3 linked regions of the Drosophila melanogaster genome follow. The protein of the gene in region 1 purifies or fractionates together with the protein of each later gene. This does not show direct contact. Each region holds a gene or a part of one and is shown in the gene's direction. Other genes may lie near its edges.

Region 1 (9,079 bases):
GGCTAGGATGCGAGGGTGCTGAACAGATGGCGCCTCCGAGTCCCGGAACTGAAACAGTGGATTATCTAGGCTCGATTCTAATTGGGTCTCCTCAACTCGCCGTTTTGGCTGCACTGCAGCCGGTTCCGAAGAGCTGCCTTTGCGTTTGTTGGTCACATTCGGCTTCGAAACGCTGCTCTTTCGCTTTGCGGCCGCCGCTCGTACATCCTCATCCTGCACTGTCAGATCCTTTTGACAATAATCTTCCGAGAAGCTTATATCATCGGGGGATAGCGTGGACATGATCAGCAAGCATTCAATCTCGCCATGCTTCTTAATTTTGAGCAGGAAAGGCATGCCCGCTTCGTCGAACTCCAGGGTCAGCGAAGCATTTAAGCACTCGGCGAAGAGGAGAAATGCTCGGAATTCCTTAATGCAGAATGTAATGACCGTCTCCTTCGTTACCTGGTACTGCTCAAATTCACTGGGCTTAAGTTTCAGCTGCGTGCGCATGAACTTATCATTAACTCGGGCTCCTTCTATGTAGTTTTTGGCCACCACACTGCCCGAGTTTGCCTCCAAAGTAAGTTCCTCCTCTGAGGAGTTAAAGTTATTGGATATATCCGTCAACAGCTTGTGATCGCCACGGATTCTGAAATGTTGAGTAGTAAATTCGGATTTATATGGGCATAGTTGTTTTAAGAGAAATAAGGTAAGGAGATAAACTTAATAGTTATCCTTAACACAAACCAAAACTCACATATTCGGCATCTGATCGGTGTTAATGTTTGTGTTAATGTTTTGGTCGTCTATGATGGAAATGGTGGCCTCCTTTGTGGTCTCCAGCTTACAGCGGAGATTCACCTGCAGGTTGGTCTGGTTGTCCAGCAAGTTGAGTTCACAGTACTCCACCTGGAACATAATATTCTTAACAACTAATCCCAGTGAGCAGACTTTCGAACTTACCTCATTCATGTTGCGGAACACGGCCAAACATCCCTTCATGGAGATCTTGCAGTAGAAATCTGAGTGCGGCGGCATGTCATACACTTCGAACATGGATCTTTTGAACGATATGCTGCCCACTGCGGATTGGGTGGCATTTATGGCCCGCATCTGCAAGGATTGCTGGTCGATCTCGATGAACATCTCCTTGCCCACCTTGGACAGCGATTGTACGGCTTTGGCGATGACTTAAAAAATGAATTCTTTTAGTTATCAATATATTTTGCTGTTTATTATGTGGTACCTCTTGCATTGCTGCCCTCTAAAGTGTATTTCATTGGCAATATTTGCACTATGTTTTTGGTCGCGAAATTCGCGCTGAAATTTGTAAACAAACAAATTAGAGTGATAGTAGTCGCACAACAGGTATGAAAAATACCAACAAAGGAATTTAGTTACCCATTTATGCATTTTGAAGTAAGTATGTACTATTTTTATATTTCAATAATTTCTTTTATAATTTAAAGCAAAATATTTCCATATTGACAATTGTCCGTAAAATAAATAAATTTAAATAAGTTCTTCAACCCGATGTAGTTCCAATGTAGTCTGGTCACACTGCGGCATGCCGGTTCATCAACGAACGCCACATCAGTTCTAAATCAAATTAAGAAAAACTGGGCTAAAACCAGCCGAAAACTGGTGAAAAGTAAAATATTTGGAGAAGGAAAGCCTTAAGTTCCTCTCTACGCTTAGTATACGTAATGTGCGTGGTTTAATCTACGTTAAAACAAGTGGAAACCATGTTACGTGCCGTGGCTTTGTGTGTGTCTGTGGTGCTCATAGCACTATATACGCCAACTTCTGGGGAATCCAGTCAGAGCTATCCCATCACCACGCTAATCAACGCGAAATGGACGCAGACGCCCCTATATCTGGAAATCGCCGAGTATCTGGCCGATGAGCAGGCGGGCCTCTTCTGGGATTACGTTTCGGGGGTGACCAAGTTGGACACGGTTCTCAACGAATATGGTTTGTGTTTATAAGTCATGGAGAACCCGCATTAAAGAGCTTTTATATTCTCCTCAATGTGAATCGAATCCATATAAAATCAAGTAATGGTTCGGAATATAAAATCACCTATTCCCAAAGCCCTATAATGTGATCTTTTCCCAAAGGGTAATTTATTTTTCTGATTACGTTTTCGCTTTTCAGATACCGAGTCGCAACAGTACAATGCCGCCTTGGAGCTGGTCAAGAGCCATGTGAGTTCTCCCCAATTGCCCCTGCTTAGGCTGGTGGTATCCATGCATAGCTTGACGCCCCGGATCCAGACCCACTTCCAGTTGGCCGAGGAACTGAGGAGCAGTGGCTCTTGTCAGAGCTTTACTTTTGCCCAGGTGGGTTCCGAACTGGCCTGCAGCTTTAACGAGCTGCAGAAGAAGCTGGAAGTGCCGCTCGCCAAGGATAGCTTGGATGCTTCTGTTGTCACCTACAGCTTTGATCACATTTTCCCTGGCAGTGAGAACAATACCCGCACTGTGGTACTATACGGCGATTTGGGAAGCTCTCAATTCCGCACCTATCACAAACTATTGGAAAAGGAAGCCAATGCTGGCCGGATTCGTTACATCTTGCGTCATCAATTGGCCAAGAAGGACAAGCGACCGGTACGACTTTCGGGCTATGGAGTGGAACTCCATCTGAAGTCAACGGAATACAAGAGTCAGGATGATGCTCCAAAGCCCGAAGCTGGTTCCACTTCTGATGAGGATTTGGCTAATGAATCGGACGTCCAGGGCTTTGATTTCAAGGTGCTGAAGCAGAAGCATCCTACACTTAAGAGAGCGCTGGATCAACTGCGTCAGAGGCTTCTTCAGGGAAACGATGAGATCGCCCAATTGAAAGCATGGGAGTTCCAGGATTTGGGTCTCCAGGCGGCCGCTGCTATTGCAGAAATACAGGGTGATGAAACCCTACAAATTCTTCAATATACTGCCCATAATTTCCCCATGTTGGCCAGAACCCTGCTGGCCCACAAGGTTACGGATGGCTTAAGGGCGGAGGTAAAGCATAATACGGAAGCATTTGGAAGAAGCTTGAATGTAGCGCCTCCAGATGGTGCCCTTTTCATCAATGGACTCTTCTTCGATGCTGACACAATGGATCTGTATTCCCTGATTGAGACGCTGCGCTCGGAGATGCGTGTTCTCGAGAGTCTGCACAGTAATAATGTGAGGGGAAGCCTTGCCAGCTCCTTGCTCGCCTTGGATCTGACGGCCTCCAGCAAAAAAGAATTCGCCATCGACATCCGTGACACTGCAGTACAGTGGGTCAACGATATTGAAAACGATGTGCAGTACCGCAGGTGGCCCTCATCGGTGATGGATCTTTTGCGTCCAACCTTTCCTGGCATGTTAAGGAATATCCGAAAGAATGTGTTCAATTTGGTCCTAGTGGTAGACGCGCTGCAGCCCACAGCTAGAAGTGTTATTAAACTGTCAGAGTCGTTTGTCATCCATCAAGCTCCCATTCGCTTGGGTTTGGTTTTCGATGCGAGGGACGCCAACGAGGATAATCTTGCAGATTACGTAGCCATCACGTGCGCCTATAACTATGTGAGTCAGAAAAAGGATGCCCGAGCTGCTTTAAGTTTCCTCACCGACATCTACGCAGCAGTTGGTGAGACCAAAGTGGTCACGAAAAAAGACATAGTCAAGCAACTAACGAAGGAATTTACATCATTAAGCTTTGCCAAAGCGGAGGAGTTCCTGGAGGAAGATTCCACGTACGACTATGGCAGGGAGCTCGCAGCAGAGTTCATTCAGCGGCTGGGATTCGGAGACAAGGGACAACCTCAGGCCTTGTTGAATGGTGTTCCAATGCCCAGCAACGTTGTGACCGCCGATAGCGACTTCGAGGAGGCTATTTTCACCGAGATTATGACCCACACCAGCAATCTCCAAAAGGCTGTGTACAAAGGTGAACTGACAGACAACGATGTAGCCATTGATTATCTGATGAATCAACCTCACGTGATGCCCAGATTGAATCAGCGAATCCTAAGCCAGGAGGATGTGAAATATCTTGATATTAACGGCGTGGCCTACAAAAATCTTGGCAATGTTGGAGTTTTAAATCGTCTGTCTAACCGGGATATGACCGCTACGCTAATGGATAATCTTAAATACTTTGGTGGCAAGAAGTCTACGGAGCTTATTGGCCGAGCATCCCTACAGTTCCTAACGATTTGGGTGTTTGCTGATTTGGAAACTGACCAGGGTCGAGATCTGCTCACCCATGCCCTGGACTATGTCCAAAGTGGAGAGAGTGTGCGAGTCGCATTCATTCCAAACACTGAAAGCTCTTCCGCCTCAAGCCGGAGGAATCTTAATCGATTGGTTTGGGCTGCCATGCAGAGTCTTCCACCAACTCAAGCCACGGAGCAGGTTCTCAAGTGGCTAAAGAAACCAAAGGAGAAAATTGAGATACCCACTCAGCTCGAGGATATCCTGGGATCTACAGAGCTGCACCTGAAGATGTTGAGAGTTTATTCCCAGCGAGTGTTGGGTCTAAATAAATCCCAGCGTTTGGTCATCGGTAATGGGCGGCTTTATGGGCCCCTTTCGTCGGATGAAAGCTTTGATAGCGCCGATTTCGCTTTGCTAGCCAGGTTCAGTTCTCTACAGTATAGCGATAAGGTGCGTCAGGTCCTGAAGGAATCTGCTCAAGATGTCAATGAGGAATTCAACAGCGATACATTGCTTAAGTTGTATGCCAGCCTGCTTCCCAGGCAAACCAAAACTCGCTTTAAGCTACCAACGGACTTAAAAACCGATCACTCGGTTGTAAAACTACCGCCCAAACAGGAGAATCTTCCCCATTTTGATGTTGCCGCCGTTTTGGATCCCGCCTCCCGAGCAGCTCAAAAACTAACGCCAATACTTATTTTGCTTCGTCAAGTGCTGAACTGCCAATTGAACTTATACCTGATTCCCGTCCCCCAGCACAGCGATATGCCCGTGAAGAACTTCTACAGATACGTTGTGGAACCGGAGGTCCAATTCGAGGCGAATGGAGGCCGATCTGATGGTCCTTTGGCCAAATTCAGTGGATTGCCAGCCAATCCTCTGCTGACCCAGCAGCTGCAGGTTCCCGAGAACTGGTTGGTCGAAGCTGTGAGAGCAGTTTACGATCTGGACAACATTAAGTTGACCGATATTGGTGGACCTGTGCACAGCGAATTCGATCTGGAGTATCTGCTGTTGGAGGGTCACTGCTTTGATGCTGCTAGCGGCGCTCCGCCCAGAGGACTTCAGTTGGTGTTGGGTACCCAGAGTCAACCTACCTTGGTAGATACTATTGTGATGGCGAATTTGGGTTATTTCCAACTTAAAGCCAATCCAGGAGCTTGGTCCCTACGCTTGCGTGAAGGCAAATCGGCGGATATTTATGCAATCAGCCACATTGAAGGAACAAATACCCATCATTCGGCTGGCTCTTCTGAAGTTCAGGTTCTTATAACCTCCTTGCGATCCCATGTTGTCAAATTAAGGGTGTCTAAGAAGCCAGGCATGCAGCAGGCGGAACTCCTGTCAGATGACAACGAACAGGCAGCGCAATCAGGCATGTGGAACAGCATCGCCAGCAGTTTTGGCGGCGGCAGTGCCAACCAAGCAGCCACTGATGAGGATACGGAAACCATCAACATTTTCTCTGTGGCATCGGGACACTTGTACGAACGTCTTCTAAGGATCATGATGGTTTCGCTGCTAAAGCACACAAAATCACCTGTGAAGTTCTGGTTCTTGAAGAACTATCTTTCGCCGCAATTTACGGATTTCCTTCCTCACATGGCCAGTGAGTACAACTTCCAGTACGAATTGGTCCAGTACAAATGGCCCCGCTGGCTGCATCAGCAAACGGAAAAACAGAGGACCATTTGGGGCTACAAGATCCTTTTCCTGGACGTGCTCTTCCCGCTGAATGTGAGGAAAATCATTTTCGTGGATGCCGATGCCATCGTAAGAACGGATATAAAGGAGTTGTATGACATGGACCTCGGAGGAGCACCCTATGCCTACACGCCATTCTGCGATTCCCGCAAAGAGATGGAGGGCTTCCGATTCTGGAAGCAGGGATACTGGCGAAGCCATCTGATGGGCAGGCGTTACCACATTTCCGCCTTGTACGTGGTGGACTTGAAGAGATTCCGCAAGATTGCGGCAGGAGATAGGCTAAGAGGCCAATACCAGGCACTTAGCCAGGATCCGAACAGCTTATCCAATTTGGATCAGGACTTGCCCAACAACATGATCCACCAGGTCGCCATCAAATCCCTGCCCGACGACTGGCTATGGTGCCAAACGTGGTGCAGCGACAGCAACTTCAAGACTGCTAAAGTGATTGATTTGTGCAACAACCCGCAGACCAAGGAGGCCAAACTCACGGCCGCCCAGAGGATTGTGCCCGAATGGAAGGACTACGATGCCGAGCTGAAGACCCTGATGTCTCGCATCGAGGATCATGAGAATTCGCATAGCAGGGACTCGGCAGTTGATGATTCGGTTGACGATTCGGTGGAGGTCACCACTGTGACGCCTTCTCATGAGCCCAAGCACGGCGAGCTGTGATGAACGCGTAGTTAAATCAACATGTTTAGTGAATTTAAATATCGATGGATAAACACTTGATTACTTAGCTAAGAGCCATCTCCGAAATAACGACTAAACACATTTGTACATTTTAATTAGAACATAATGCGATTGATAACGTAAACCCAACTCAAAAAGAAAACAGCTCACTAAAGTCTGAATTGTGTTTTGTAACTCGATTTCGAACGATTTTCTTGTCTTGCATTCCAAGAGCTACTAATTAAGTTAAGCCGAAATTAAATGTCATCATACTAAATACGCGCCTTTAAGTTGAAGATTGTCAAATGTATTAAAAGTTGGAGTAAATAGTAATTAATTCAGCGTATTTTATTAACCATTTATTTGGGATGGTCAGGCCACTTTACCCCCTCGAAAAGCTTTGGTGACTGCGTATGTGCGTTAGGTGGCAACGCCAAATTCAAATAAAGTTTTCAAAAATCTCAGTATTTCAATTTGTATTTTTGTTGGTTTTATTTCATATTATTTTGAGTTAACTTGCTTTCGTATCTACATAAAGAATCTATTTAATAAATTTAATACAATGCTGCTTTACTTTATTGTTTAGCTCTTAATATGAAATAGTTCATTATTTTAGCAATTTATTAATAAATTTTCATTTGGTATTTAGTAAGGCAGACAGTGCAGTCCAAAGACGTTGATCTTTTCCATATTTATTATTAGGTTTGATCTGCTTCTCGATTGGCGTTCATTTGTAAGTTAAAAGTAATTCCTCAGCATTTGCGATGAACATTTCATTCCCATTAATTTAGTTTTAGCGTATCTAATATATAGTTAAAAATTTGATTCTTCACTTTAGTTTCCATCTAGCGCTGAGTGTAGTATACAATAGTTAATTAAAGCTTTCTTTTTATTCAATTTGCTCAATATGTTATTATATATGTTTTGGTTCAGACTACGCAATTGTTTTCTATCCACTTTTGAACTAGCTCATAAGTGTTTAAAGGGAAATATATAGTTAATATATTAATTAAGGTTCGCTTCTCGGTTAAATTATATAAAAAAATGCGGCTGCCAAAAGGATTCTCCTTGTCAGTTTGAAGTTGTGTATATTTTATGTGTATTGTATCTGTATCTGGTGTATCTTGCGCTCCTCTTACGTGCTAAGAATTGACGATACTACAAAATTAGACAGTTCGCTTTCGTATCTGTATCTGTAGTCTTTGTTATCATCAGTTTAAAATGGTATAGGCATATTTGAATGAATGCTTCCCAGTTTCTTGAGTTCGATTCGTTGTTGATGTCTATGTATGCATATAGGCATTGCTTTAATCCAGGTGTTTATACATATCCTCCAGCTGGGGCTTAAAATAGCTCTTAAGCTGCGGTCTCTTGGCTTTGAATGTGGGCGTCAGCAGTCCGTTTTGCACCGAGAAGGGATCCGGATGCAGATAGATATCTTTAACCTAAAATTAAATATCCCGGATATTATCTCGAAACCTATAGGTATGCTGATTCAAAAGCTCACCTGTTCGAATGACTTGAGTCCACTCTGCTTGCCCCAGTTGAGCATGTCGTTCATGATCAGTTCCTTGACATTCTTATTATTGCACAGGACGGAGAGTGTGCCGCGTACATTGTTCTCCGTGGCCCATTGCTTCAGTACATCGGTATCAGGTACAACAACAGCGATAATGCAGCTCTGAAAGAATTTGGTAAATATGTACATATATAATACAATTTCGGTCTTACCTTTAAGCTCTCTCCATAGACATAAACTTGATTTACGTATTGACTGAGCGTGTAGATATTCTCGATCTTCTCGGGCACTATGTACTCGCCCTGGCTAAGCTTGAAGATGTGCTTGCGGCGATCGATGATCCGTAGTGTTCCATTTGGCAGCCACATGCCCACATCGCCCGTATGATGCCAGCCCTCCGAATCGATGGCCTCCGCCGTCTTTTCGGGATCCTTATAGTAACTATTCACACAACAATTCAATGGATTAAACAAAAGTGGAATATTCATATTAGCTTTACCTACCCATGGAACACATTCGATCCGCGCACACACACCTCGCCAGTATTTTGATTGGCAAAGTACTCCATCTCCGGCACATCCACCAGTTTCACAGCATTGCAGGACACGGGTGGTCCCACATGGTTGGGCACATGATCTCCCTGAACGGTAAGGGTAATGGCCCCCGTGCACTCCGTTTGGCCATATCCCTCGAGAACCAGGCAGCCCAGAGCACAGCGCATGAAGGTCAGGACATTTCCGGCCAATGGGGCGGAGCCCACGACCATTAAACGAAGATTTCCGCCAAAGGCCTGATGCACCTTCTTGAAGACCAACTTGTCCCAGCAGCCGTTCCTCCGCAGGACACCCCTGGCGATCTCCTTCTCCTTCGCTCGCATAGCCATATTGAAGAGACCCCTCTTCAGTCCAGACGCTGAGATATCATTCTGAATCTTGTCGTAGACGCGGTTCAAAAGACGAGGCACTGCCGGCATTACGGTTGGTTTCAGCATCTTGAGGTCATT
Region 2 (6,069 bases), on another chromosome or scaffold:
TCCAGAGGCAGGTACTACGTTGGACGTTCCCCCACCGCCCATGCAGACCCAAAGCCTGAATAGCATCTCTGCTGATACGGGAGATACGCAGGCGAAGAAGGTAACAGAATGCTCCGGGACACAAGGCTATTCAACCATCGACTTCATCCGCACATACGCGTTGAACAAGTCTTCGACTGAACTGCCAGAAACAGTGACGCATCGACAGCATTCGTCGCACGATGCCGAGGAGCTGAGAATCACCAGGCACAGCAAGTGCATACGAAAGGCTTACTCCATAAGTGAGTGAATTGGAGGCAGCAGGAATAGGATTGGTGGAGGAGACCGCGAGTGCACAACGAATTTACAGAAAGCATAATGGACACCAGATCGCTGGCGAAATGGATCTAACCCCACATTTATTTGTGCCAAATCTGAGTACCAAAAAGATGTAAGGAGCTTTTGAAAGAAAAATCATAATGCCGGGAAGTAAAGAGGACAACAGATCACGAAGAAAGGAAAAACAGCCAGATCGGAAAGAGTACAAAAGTAAAAGAACAGTGGCCACAAGATTTGTTAGGTCCTAATTGTTAAATGCTCGATTTAAAGTAAACCAACTAAAGTGACCAACTGACCAACTATGAAGATGAAAGCGTATAAAAACACATGCTGTGCAACTTAAAAGTTGAGCAGATCAAATGGATAGCTTGTTAAAAAATATCGAGATTAACTACTAAAATTAACCACACATGGGATCAAACAGGATTTTATTGATACAGCATACAATATTTTAATGTTTCCAAATGACGTTTTAACTTTTTTGCCCACAAATTTTCGTGATGCTGTTACTTTTGATTTTGAAAAGCATACTTAAGAAGGAGCTAAGTAACTTTCCTACTATTTTCAATGGATTTTCAAGGGAATATGATAAAATTGAAATGGATCTCTCTCGGATTGGGGAGTAAAAAGCTATGGAGGTTGAAAAGAACGTGTTGCACAACGAATTTACTGCACGAGATTGTGGTAAAGTGAAATTTGAAGAGTGATTTGTCCAAAGATATGTTTGCTTCCAACTGCGCCAAGCTAAAACGCAAACGATTAACAATATTATAACCAGGTTGTTTTTTGTAGTCAGTACAGTAAACTCACACAGCCAAAAAACCAAAACACATAGACATGAATTGCATACGTACATAACTTGTATTTAAGGATATTAACAATAGCATTACTTAGCGATTAGTTGATTTGTGTAATTGCCAGCGGCTGTTTAGAGCTAGTCATTTTTGATTTTGTGCATATAAAATAGTGAGCAACACGAAAGGCTTTTAACATTAAAATTGTACATGGTAGATATGGTAAGAGTAGCTCATAAGCACCAGAAGATACATCATCGACGTACACGTACGTTTGTTGTTGGCCAAGGCTTTGAAATTGTATTCTGTTGCCAAACAAAAAAAAAAAAAAAAAAACAATGGTAGAAAGCATCGCGTTGCATTGTCCGCTGTGAGTTTATAATTTTTTACATATATATATCGCTGAATTGTTATTCAATTTGTTAGGAGTTATATACACTGAGCATTCATCGTTTCACACGAACGAGAAGAAATGAATGTTCTTTCGTTTACATGTACTTAAAATCGCTGCTTAGTCGGCGGCATAAACTAAATTATTGTTAGTGTCTAAGACGAAATACGTGCAATAAAGCTCAAATGACCCTGTATATATACTATATATTTTTTGATATTTTCCGAGATATATGGATTTGCCTTGCGATTTTCAGTTAATTTCTTAACAAATGCATTATAACACGGATTACAATATAAGGATATCGACGAAGACCAACATTTAAATACCATTCTAAATTGTATAGTTTCCAAAATCTGACGTTCTTTGTTTTTTGTTGCATAAATATCAAACAATTATTTTAGTTGATAATATATTTTTTACCTTTTCATTGCTTACCAATTAATTTTAAATCAGAACTTAATATTATTTTTAAAACTCAATAAGGGAAAAATTGATCTACAAACTTCTTATCAAAGTTGTAATATACTCTTAGTGAGTGTATCCGATGATCCCTCGCATTTCAGAACTCTACTGCGTCATTGTTCAATCTGGCGATAAGAAGAAAGTGATCGGAATCCAGCTGCTCTTCTCTTCCATTGTGTTCTCATCGGGTTCACTTAGCGCTCTTTCCTCCGTTCCCGCATTCTTCGGGAGAGCCCCAATTGCGAGAGAAGGAGAAGCTGTCAGTCAGTCAGTCACTTGGGCCCCGTTGACATTGACACACACGGCAGTAAATAGACGGACGGAGAAATGCAGCTGAATTGGAAGCTGGCCTTGGCCTTGCTAGCGGTGCTTTGCCTGCAACTCGCGCAGGGATCAGAACTTAACTGGGATGCGGCTTCAGGTCCTGAAATGGGACTCCAAATGGCTGCCCACTTGGCACCCAGCACACCCAAAGATGTCCAGGAAACCGCAGCCATGGCGGTAATCAGTAGAGTAATCGGCGAACGATCTTCTCAATTGTTTAAGGTGCAAGTCAATAAAAATATGGATTTACGAAGCTTTCAGGTAATAATATTTATTTATTAAGTATTTACTTTTAAGTAAATAAACAATACAAATGTTTCAATCTTTAAATACCTTACAGATTAGCATGTTGGATGATGGCCGGATTCTGCTGATGGGATGGGATGGTGTTTCCGTGTGCAAGGCCCTCCATCACTACCTCAAATATGTTTTAAACAAGGACGTGGATTGGTTCAAGATGCGCATTGAGTTGCCCACCAATTTGCAGCTGCCCAATGTGACCATCGAGTCCAAGTCAGCAAGCCCGATTATCTATCACCAGAACGTGTGCACTTGGAGCTATAGCTTTGCATGGTGGGGCATTGAGCAGTGGCGCCGTCACCTGGACTGGATGGCCCTGATGGGCATCAGTCTGACTATTGCGCCGGTCCAGGAAGCCATTTGGGTGAAGGTGTACACGGATATGGGCCTCAGGATGGAGGAAATCGACGAGCATCTGGCTGGACCAGCTTTTCAGGCCTGGCAGCGCATGGGCAACATACGGGGATGGGCGGGACCACTGACACCGGCATGGCGACGCTATCAATTACTCCTCCAGCAGGAGATTATCACTGCCCAACGCAATCTGGGCATGAGCGTGGCCTTGCCCGCCTTTGCTGGTCATGTGCCACGTGCTCTGAAGCGTCTGAATCCCGAATCGACGTTCATGGAAGTGCAGCGATGGAACCAGTTCCCCGATCGATACTGCTGCGGTTTATTTGTGGAACCCACGGAGAATCTTTTCAAGGAGATAGCCTCGCGTTTTTTGCATAATATCATTACGAAATATGGTTCGAATCACATCTTCTTCTGCGATCCCTTCAACGAACTGGAGCCACCGGTAGCCAAGCCGGAATACATGCGTTCAACGGCGGCGGCGATTTATGAATCTATGCGCGGCATTGATCCTCAGGCCATTTGGTTGCTTCAGGGCTGGATGTTCGTGAAGAATCCCTTTTGGACCACGGACATGGCTGAAGCTTTCCTCACGGCCGCACCACGTGGTCGCATTTTGGTGCTCGATCTGCAGAGCGAACAGTTTCCGCAATACGAGCTAACGCGCTCCTACTTTGGGCAGCCCTTTATATGGTGCATGCTTCACAATTTCGGCGGCACACTTGGAATGTTTGGATCAGCGAAGCTGATAAATTCCGGAATAGAAGAGGCGCGTCGCTTGCCCAACAGCAGTTTGGTGGGCACGGGAATCACACCCGAGGGCATTGGCCAGAACTATGTGATGTATTCGTTCACCTTGGAGCGCGGCTGGAGTAATACATCCCTAGATCTGGATAGCTGGTTTACGAATTTCTCACACAGCCGGTATGGCGTTAAGGATGAGCGTTTGGAGCAGGCGTGGCTGCTCCTAAAGAATAGCGTCTATTCCTTCCGTGGTCTGCAGAAAATGCGGGGACAGTATGTAGTGACGCGCAGGCCTTCCTTCAACCAAGAACCCTTCACTTGGTACAATGCAAGTGCAGTGCTGGATGCCTGGCACTTGTTGCTGACCTTCAGAGCCATCATACCGCTAGAGGATAACAGATACGAGATATACGAACACGATTTGGTGGACATAACCAGGCAATTCCTGCAGATCAGCGCAGATCAGTTGTATATCAATCTAAGGTCGGCCTATAGAAAGCGACAGGTTTCGCGTTTCGAATTCCTTAGCGTCAAGCTGTTGAAACTGTTCGATGACATGGAGCTGATCCTGGCGAGCAGCAGGAATTTTCTGCTCGGCAACTGGCTGCAGCAGGCCAAGCAAGCGGCACCGAACACTGGGCAACAAAGAAACTTCGAATTCAATGCGAGAAACCAAATTACCGCCTGGGGTCCTGATGGTCAGATCCTGGACTATGCGTGCAAACAGTGGTCCGGCTTGGTGAGCGACTACTATAGGCCTCGGTGGAGACTCTTCCTGGAAGATGTGACAGTGGCTCTCCATGCTGGACGACCCTTTAATGGTACCGCTTTCAAGCTGAAAGTCTCGCACGAAATCGAGCTGCCTTTTAGCAACAAAGACGACGTTTATCCCGTGACGCCAGTTGGCAACACCTGGCTTATTTCCCAGGACATTTTCGAAACCTGGAAGGGCTACTCTAAGGACACGCTCTTTCTACATAACAACAGATTATCAGTGCCTCAAAAAGCGGGACCTAAATAATTGTATCTACCTATAGTTCAATACAACTGCCACAACAAACGTTTAATAAACTTTTCTCTAAAATTGACTTTAAATATTCGAAATAAAAATCTTTTGACACTAGTTGCTCAAGGATTAAACGAAAACATTTCAGATATACAGATATCCCACCAAACTTTCAAAATTGATTGGCATCAATCCAATAATGTTTCAATCAATTGCGAAATTCCACGAGATTAGATACGTACACTATATTACTATCAAAATCGTTACAATTGAAACTTAAATGTGGCTTTGCATCATACATCAATGTAGTTTTAATTGATTTTTATTTAAATTAATGTACAAACTAATTATGTAAAAATTTAAACGATTTAATACGCATTTCTATGGTTACTTTTGTTTTTCTTGATGTATTTGTGTTTTGGGTATTTGCGTTTTAGTTTTCTTTTTTTTTCACACATTGCATGAACTCTATTCTGGTTATGATGCCGTGCTTTCTTGATCGTCTCCTTATTGCGGCGTCCATCGTCTTCAACGTCGGGTTAATGCTAGATTTATGCAAAAAGATTGCATACAATTTTGTTTACTCCTGCCAGCATCTGATCTGTTTAAGTCACTACAATTAAATTTTTACTTTAAGGTTTTCTTCATCTTAATATTCTTGTTTCCTTTGCTCATTTTTGTGTGGGTTTCTCTGAGAGGTGTGTTTGTGTTTGTTCAAATATTCATTCATACTCGGATCTTTCTACAATTACTCATTTAAAAAATTCCAAACAAACATTATTTTATATTAGTACAATAAAGTTTGCATCTTTCGTATCGGTTGCGTGTAGTATTATTATGACGTTTTACAACTATATAATGTGGATAGGGGAGCGGGAGTTGGGAACTGGCTGGGCATCTTATTTATGCTGGTATGTCGAGGACAATGCGCAAAAATATGTTAATCATATTAATGTATGTAATTGCGCACGAATAACCATTTACTCATTCACCTTTTAACGCAGCTATATCTGTATAGGTGTATGTGTATGTGTGTGTATGCAAGTGTTGTGGGTCTTGTGTGGATGTATTTATATATATAACGTACTTATATGCATTCAATCAAACAAACATTTATACTTTCTCGCTCGAGAAACACTCATACATCACCATCCTTTTATCATTCTCAAGCATCAACTAAAACATTCTAGCTCAGTGACATCGACATCGACATCGACATCTATTCGTCCTGCATATCCTCGGGCAACTCGTGCGGATTCAACATTCCTGGAATATTACGCTGCATCTGATGTTTATTTGACTGCTCCTCGGCCAGAGCCGCTTCACGCTCTTCCAAGTACAGATCGGAATCGTCCTCGCCGGTGGCCTCCTGC
Region 3 (6,176 bases), on another chromosome or scaffold:
AGCGGACTTTTTTTAAAATTTTTTATTCATTGGTATACTGACGTGTTATCAACAAATTAGAAATGATCTAAGAATCCTTGAAAATGCATTTAAAAATTATGCAGTGTTCTCAAAATTCGACCAAAAGGGTTTTGAAAATACCGCCAAATGCTGTACCTGCACCACAGGGAAATCCATGTTATGAACCGATGTATAGCACTATCATTTCGACGCTAACTTTCAGAATGTATTACACCGTTTACAGAGCGTTTTGCCAAGTGGCCCGGTATCTCAACCTTTTGTTTTTAATTTCATTAACTAGCTGTGAAAGCTTTTGCATTAAGCTATGTAGAGTTTTCCAGGAAGTTGCAATTTCAGAACATATTTCAAAAAGTGTTGTGTGACATGAAATCAGCCTTAAATAACTTTTATATTAAAAGGACATGAATTTAGTTGGATTTTAACAAATATATATATATAAAATACTTAGGTTATTTTTATAATTTGCGTATGTACCTTGCGTACGTATGTGCCTTGCAGCTGAGAATATTTTCTAATGTTGGACAGAAACAGATACAAACAACATTCCCAATAGGGAATTCGCTCTTGATCAACATCTCTAGCCGAGGCGACCTGGCGATGTACTAATGTTAGCATAGACATCAAAGTCTCTGGAACTATATTGGTAGGATGTTAAAACTAATCATGCAAATTCTAGTGACGCCTACTTCGGGCAAGTTTGTTTTATTGTATAACTACGCCACTTTCACTCTAACGTCCACAAGCCACAAAAAACTGGCAAGCCCACAATTTTAAAATGAACTTGTTTTCGATTTCCAATATATGCAATGTATTCATCTAAATATTTTGCAGGAATATAATTTTTTTAATCTTTATTCCACATGTACGCTTCAGAATTGGTTGCTAAAACTGAATAAAGCGAATATCCAGTAATTGGATATCTAATATCCATTATACATTGTCTTTAGCATTCTCCTCTGAGAATAAGTTTTTTTTTCGCATGATTTCAATTGATATTTTTTACAATAACATAATTGTTTATCTCTAATTTAATGAAATAAGTTCGAACGTATCCATTACAGAATCCCTGAAATCTTTATAAGCCGAATATTATTCAGACTAAGAAGTAGCAAGCGTTATTCATAAAGATAACAAATAGCGTTAAAAAATATTGAAATATCTTGCCACATGAAAAACGATCTGTAAATGGTGTAACACATTTAGCAAGTTAACATTGGTATGTTGTTGTACATCGGTTCATGTCACTAATTTGCTTGGTGCGAGTGCTGGAGCTGGCAGTATTTTCAAGTCCCTTTGAGCTGTTCCTACTGTAAGGCGAATTTTCGGAGAGCTGTGCATAATTACTTTATCAATTTTCCAGGATCCTTGCTCTCATAAGCTTTCTCTTTGAGCAACAACAATGTAAACTTAATTTGAAACATGAACCGTCCATTTTAGAACACCCTTAGTCCTAAGTGGATTCCTAAAAATTTTTTTTTATTTTTCTATTACATTATGTATTTAATATATAATTTATATACTTCCAAGACCTAATAAATATTGGGAGTTCCAAATCAAAACATTCTTCGATCGCTACTAACTAAAAATGGTAATTGAATGCTTTGTGTATTTTTAATCCGTTTTTTTAAGCAAAAGATTATTGAGTAATTTTTATAATTTCAACACGTGATAACTTAATATTTCTAAGTAACTTATTTCCTATTTAAAGCAATTGTTGAAATTTAGAGATTTCTTACCTTTTTTAAAATGTCTATAAAAAGGAGATCCAAGCTCTATTTTTCGTGCATAAATTTGTTGTGCATCCCCACAGGAAAAGAACATGTACGCTAGTGGAATCCGGCTGGCTTCATTCAACAAAAAAAAACCTAAAAAACACCTCTTTTGTTATCGCTTGAAGTTCGCTAAACTAATCGCGTTTTCCAACACCATAACCCTTTGTGTCTGCATGATTGTCATCCGCCGGCCACCCCTACTAACGACGAAACCAATCTGATAGTGGCAGCTGGTCATCAACATGGTGGACATAAACTTGGAGTGCGTGCACCAGATCGAACCGAAGACCCGTTCTGCTGGTCAGCAGCAGCAGGAGCGAGGGTTAAAGGAAGCCTACCTGGAAGCGGTCCGCATTCTGTTAGTGCTGCTGGAGAACATCTTGGCGCAGCCGGAGAACTCCATGTTCCGCACCATACGGCAGGAAAACAAAGCTATTAAAGAAAAGCTGCTGTCCTTGCCCGGCTGTGAGAGGTTACTGGAAGCCATAGGCTTCGTACGCGCCCCCAGTTCCAACGCCTACACCTTGCCCACAGAGGTGTCACTGCAGCAGGTGAAGAAGTACAGAGATGCGCTGAGCGAGAGACGCACTGCCTGGCTTAACGGCACAGTGTCAAAAAGTAAGCTTTGGGGGCAAGACTGACATCCTAATCATCATGTCTCGGATTTTAATAGGTCCTCCTCAACAAAGCACCACCAGCACCACGCCCTTGTTCATCAAGCCTTCTGTGGAATATCGCCATAGAATCGCCTTCCCCCGTGTATTGGTAAGCCAGCCATCGAACAAGATAGACCTCTGCTGTATTCTGATGTGGAAGCTTGTTTTCAGCGCACCAATAATAACTTTCTGCAGTCGCTAGAGCTTTATTCCGATGCAGTCATGCAGTACGAGGATAACCTGCTGCTGGCTACTGGCCGCACTCTGATTCCTGTGGAAGAGCTCACCGAAATGGCAAGCGAGAAACTGATAGACATCCAAGATCAAATTGCGTCGGGTGAGCGCCAGGAGAAGGAGCCATGTGTTCGCGACTTGCTGCTTGTGGAGCTGGTAAACTGGTTCAACACGCAGTTCTTCCAGTGGGTAAACAATATACCTTGCCGCGTGTGTGGGAGTGAAGAGAGCAGGCTGCGCCGCACTGAACGGGAAGGTGATATAAGGGTGGAAGTCACCGTTTGCTGCGGCCAGGAGAGCAAGTTCTACCGCTATAACGACATTTCCCAGCTCCTAGTTTCCCGTAAGGGCCGTTGCGGAGAATATGCCAATTGCTTCACATTCCTCTGTCGCGCCCTCGACTACGACGCCCGTATTGTCCACTCGCATTTTGATCACGTCTGGACCGAGGTGTACTCCGAGGCCCAGATGCGTTGGCTCCATGTTGACCCCTCCGAGAACGTTATAGATTCTCCGCTGATGTATCAGCATGGCTGGAAACGTCACATCGACTACATTCTTGCATACTCTAGGGACGACATCCAAGATGTGACTTGGCGCTATACTAATGACCACCAGAAGATTCTACACCTACGAAAGCTGTGCGGGGAAAAAGAAATGGTGCAAACGCTGGACGCGATTCGAGCAAAGCGGCGGCAAAATTGCACCGCCGATCGAAAGTTATTCCTCAGCCAGCGCAATATGTACGAGGTCATCGGCTTGACGCTAGAGCGGTAAGCATTTACAGGAAACTGTTCGAAATTAAATTTAATCCCGTTTCCTGTTTAGTAAGCCGACAGAAAACGAGCTGAAGGGTCGGAGTTCGGGAAGTCTTTCTTGGCGGCAGTCACGTGGAGAGCATACTTTTACCAATGTAAGTGATCTGGCCTGAGACGCGCTGCCGGCCGTTTGTCACCTTTCATGTATTTACAGATATTCGTTTTCAATCTAAGTGCAACCGAACTACAAAAAAGGCAACTTAATGTGCGTTACAGCTGTGCCACCGATACATACGAACGATATGCCAAAGGCGAGTCATGAATTTATTTACAGCACTATGAATGCTTTTAACTTTTATATCCATAGAAGGAGAACACATCACTATTTTGGATAGCTATAAGACATGGCAAAAAGCGCAATTTTCCTCAAAGAACATATTTCGGAAAGTGGAACGCGATTGGAAAATGGCATATTTGGCTAGACTGGAGGATACCGATTGCGGAGAAATTGCCTGGACGTTTGATTTCAGCAAGACCAATTTAAAGGTTAAGTCTTACAACTTAGTTTTCGAGACAAAAACTTTTGGCGACGGAAAAATCAGCGTGACTGTCGATGCCACCGACGGAAGCGCTTCGGTTGAAAATGCCACTGGATTCAAAATAGTGGCCAAACTTACGGGTGGCAAGGGCGATGTAGCATGGCAACACACACAACTGTTCAGGCAGAGTCTTAATTCAAGAGACTATCCCTTCGATCTGCAAGTGCAACTACATTGAAGTCCTCAAAAAATATTTTGGAGAAATTAAAATGTAATTGTAAATAATATAAACGATTCCCAGTCTGGATGAAAATATAATAATCAAAAATGTATATTAAAAATTAAATAAAGGCACATAGTGTCGCTATATGTAATTATACTTGAAGTTTTAAGGACTAACTTTTATGAAATTTCTATATATATAGAACAAGCGCATGGAAACAGTTAATACAAAATATAAGGTTCTTAGATTTGGGTTGCAGTTAATTAAAATATGAATGACAAATTTAGAAACGACATTTAAACTTTATTTTCTTCTATATGTCAATATTTATTTCATCCGGAATCAAAGCAATAAATAATTTTATTGGTCACAATTGCTGGGACGATTTTTCAAGATTTACATATATAGATGAAAAAAGGCAAGACAATTAAAAAGACTAGATCGACTCGGCTAGTGATCCTGATAAAGAATTCATATACTTTGTATATTTTGCTTACAACTAACGGGTATACAAATAGATATCATATGTAGGTATTCAGCGATTTTCAGAGAACCGCGCAGTGATTTTGCCATTTTACATCACCAAAAAGTCATTCGATTATTGCCTGCCCTTTATGAATATCGGTATATTAAAATTTTTCGAAACATGTTTTTCGCTAATCATCTACAACAAAATGCGCATATATATATGAATCTTAAAATTTGGTTGAAACATCAAAACATTTTTGTGTAGAATATACATATATACAAAACTAATGTTACATATATTCTTTTAGCTGTATGGCATTTATCATTGGTACCATTACACTAAATTAGAGTTAGCAAACGGTCATACCTAATTTATTGGTAAGAATGGGTCATTATATTGGTATTGAGAAAAAATAACTGTTTTTATTTTATAATAACATTAAAACGTTAATTTTTAGTACAATAAAAGTTAAAAAATTTCAAGGGCACACGGTTTAACATTTTACATGCGATGACCGTTCTTAAAAAATCGACCAAAATAAAAAAAAGTTTTTCATATTTTCAGGTTCTGGTTACCGAAAATAGTTTTCCTTTAACAATTCCGACCCCAGACTAATTTTTTTTTAATATTTAGCCTCACACTTTTACCGCCTCTTTAGTTTGTGAGCTACCTCTCGATTGTTATATTAAGCTAAGATCGGACAACCATCGCAAATTTTCATTTCTTCGTATATATCACCTTCTTCTGGTACGCTTCGTCACTACGTGGACCAGACGCTATGTGCTATATACTATGTACATACATCTATCCATGTGCTATTTACATATATATTAATTTTGATATTTAATGGCGTGTCTTAGATTTAAGATCTATGGTCAAATATAATCTCCAAAAACGTACTTAGAGGTAAGAGTGCTAGTGACAGATGGAATTTGGCGGTCTCTAAAATAAAGTTTAATAATTATTTATGGGGTCATATATAAACACGTGGAGTTTCTTACTTGGATTGCATTTTAACCACTTGACGCACATTCATCATTATGGTGTCGATGTCTGAAGTCTTCCCCGATCGATTAAGAGCTTCACACAGTGTCTGAATAAAAGGAGTTCCGTCCTCCGTGCGAAAAGATACAAATCCCTCGTACGTGCTATAGCACTTGAGGATTTCATTTGGAGACCCATTGGGCTGCGCGGCATCGGTCATAAAGCCCCCTAGTTGGCAGTCGCCCTTGCAGGCCTGAACGAAAATCAGCTTGGGCTTGTCCTTAAGCGTCCTATTGCGCAAAATGGGAAAAACAACGTCGTCGTCCAGGGAGTAGTCGTCATCCTTTGCTGCGATCTGGTCGTGGCGCGTTCCATGACTGAGGATCACGAGGACCAGAGCGCTTTTGTCCTCAAAGTCCTTGGTTTGCACTGCAAAATTTAAAAATTAATTGATTAAGCCGAGAAACTACACTTCTCCTCTTACACATTCGCACTGTTTTTTTAATGGTGACCAGGGTTG

The links. The genes of interacting proteins can lie anywhere in the genome.
Region 2: the proteins of Uggt (region 1) and Naglu purify together in Drosophila melanogaster (affinity purification with mass spectrometry, with the first as the bait; one large-scale study listed by BioGRID). This does not show direct contact.
Region 3: the proteins of Uggt (region 1) and Pngl purify together in Drosophila melanogaster (affinity purification with mass spectrometry, with the first as the bait; one large-scale study listed by BioGRID). This does not show direct contact.

What each region holds. Positions count from the first base shown.
Region 1 is NT_037436.4:18,871,223-18,880,301, forward strand, and holds Uggt (UDP-glucose-glycoprotein glucosyltransferase), read left to right. Parts: upstream 1-1,524; 5' UTR 1,525-1,727; coding exon 1,728-1,956; intron 1,957-2,139; coding exon 2,140-6,557; 3' UTR 6,558-7,023; downstream 7,024-9,079. Other genes in the region: Rad9, read right to left, coding at 1-631, 740-891, 946-1,172, 1,229-1,262; CG3961 (uncharacterized protein), read right to left, coding at 7,865-8,002, 8,065-8,238, 8,289-8,517, 8,580-9,079. UniProt on the Drosophila melanogaster protein: Recognizes glycoproteins with minor folding defects. Reglucosylates single N-glycans near the misfolded part of the protein, thus providing quality control for protein folding in the endoplasmic reticulum.
Region 2 is NT_033779.5:8,407,771-8,413,839, reverse strand, and holds Naglu (N-acetyl-alpha-glucosaminidase), read left to right. Parts: upstream 1-1,971; 5' UTR 1,972-2,295; coding exon 2,296-2,553; intron 2,554-2,632; coding exon 2,633-4,711; 3' UTR 4,712-4,791; downstream 4,792-6,069. Other genes in the region: CG13398 (uncharacterized protein), read left to right, coding at 1-289; emb (embargoed), read right to left, coding at 5,916-6,065.
Region 3 is NT_033778.4:6,015,798-6,021,973, forward strand, and holds Pngl (PNGase-like), read left to right. Parts: upstream 1-1,941; 5' UTR 1,942-2,035; coding exon 2,036-2,411; intron 2,412-2,466; coding exon 2,467-2,558; intron 2,559-2,620; coding exon 2,621-3,456; intron 3,457-3,511; coding exon 3,512-3,596; intron 3,597-3,655; coding exon 3,656-3,752; intron 3,753-3,808; coding exon 3,809-4,218; 3' UTR 4,219-4,898; downstream 4,899-6,176. Other genes in the region: Strica (Ser/Thr-rich caspase), read right to left, coding at 5,548-5,614, 5,674-6,085, 6,141-6,176. UniProt on the Drosophila melanogaster protein: Specifically deglycosylates the denatured form of N-linked glycoproteins in the cytoplasm and assists their proteasome-mediated degradation. Cleaves the beta-aspartyl-glucosamine (GlcNAc) of the glycan and the amide side chain of Asn, converting Asn to Asp.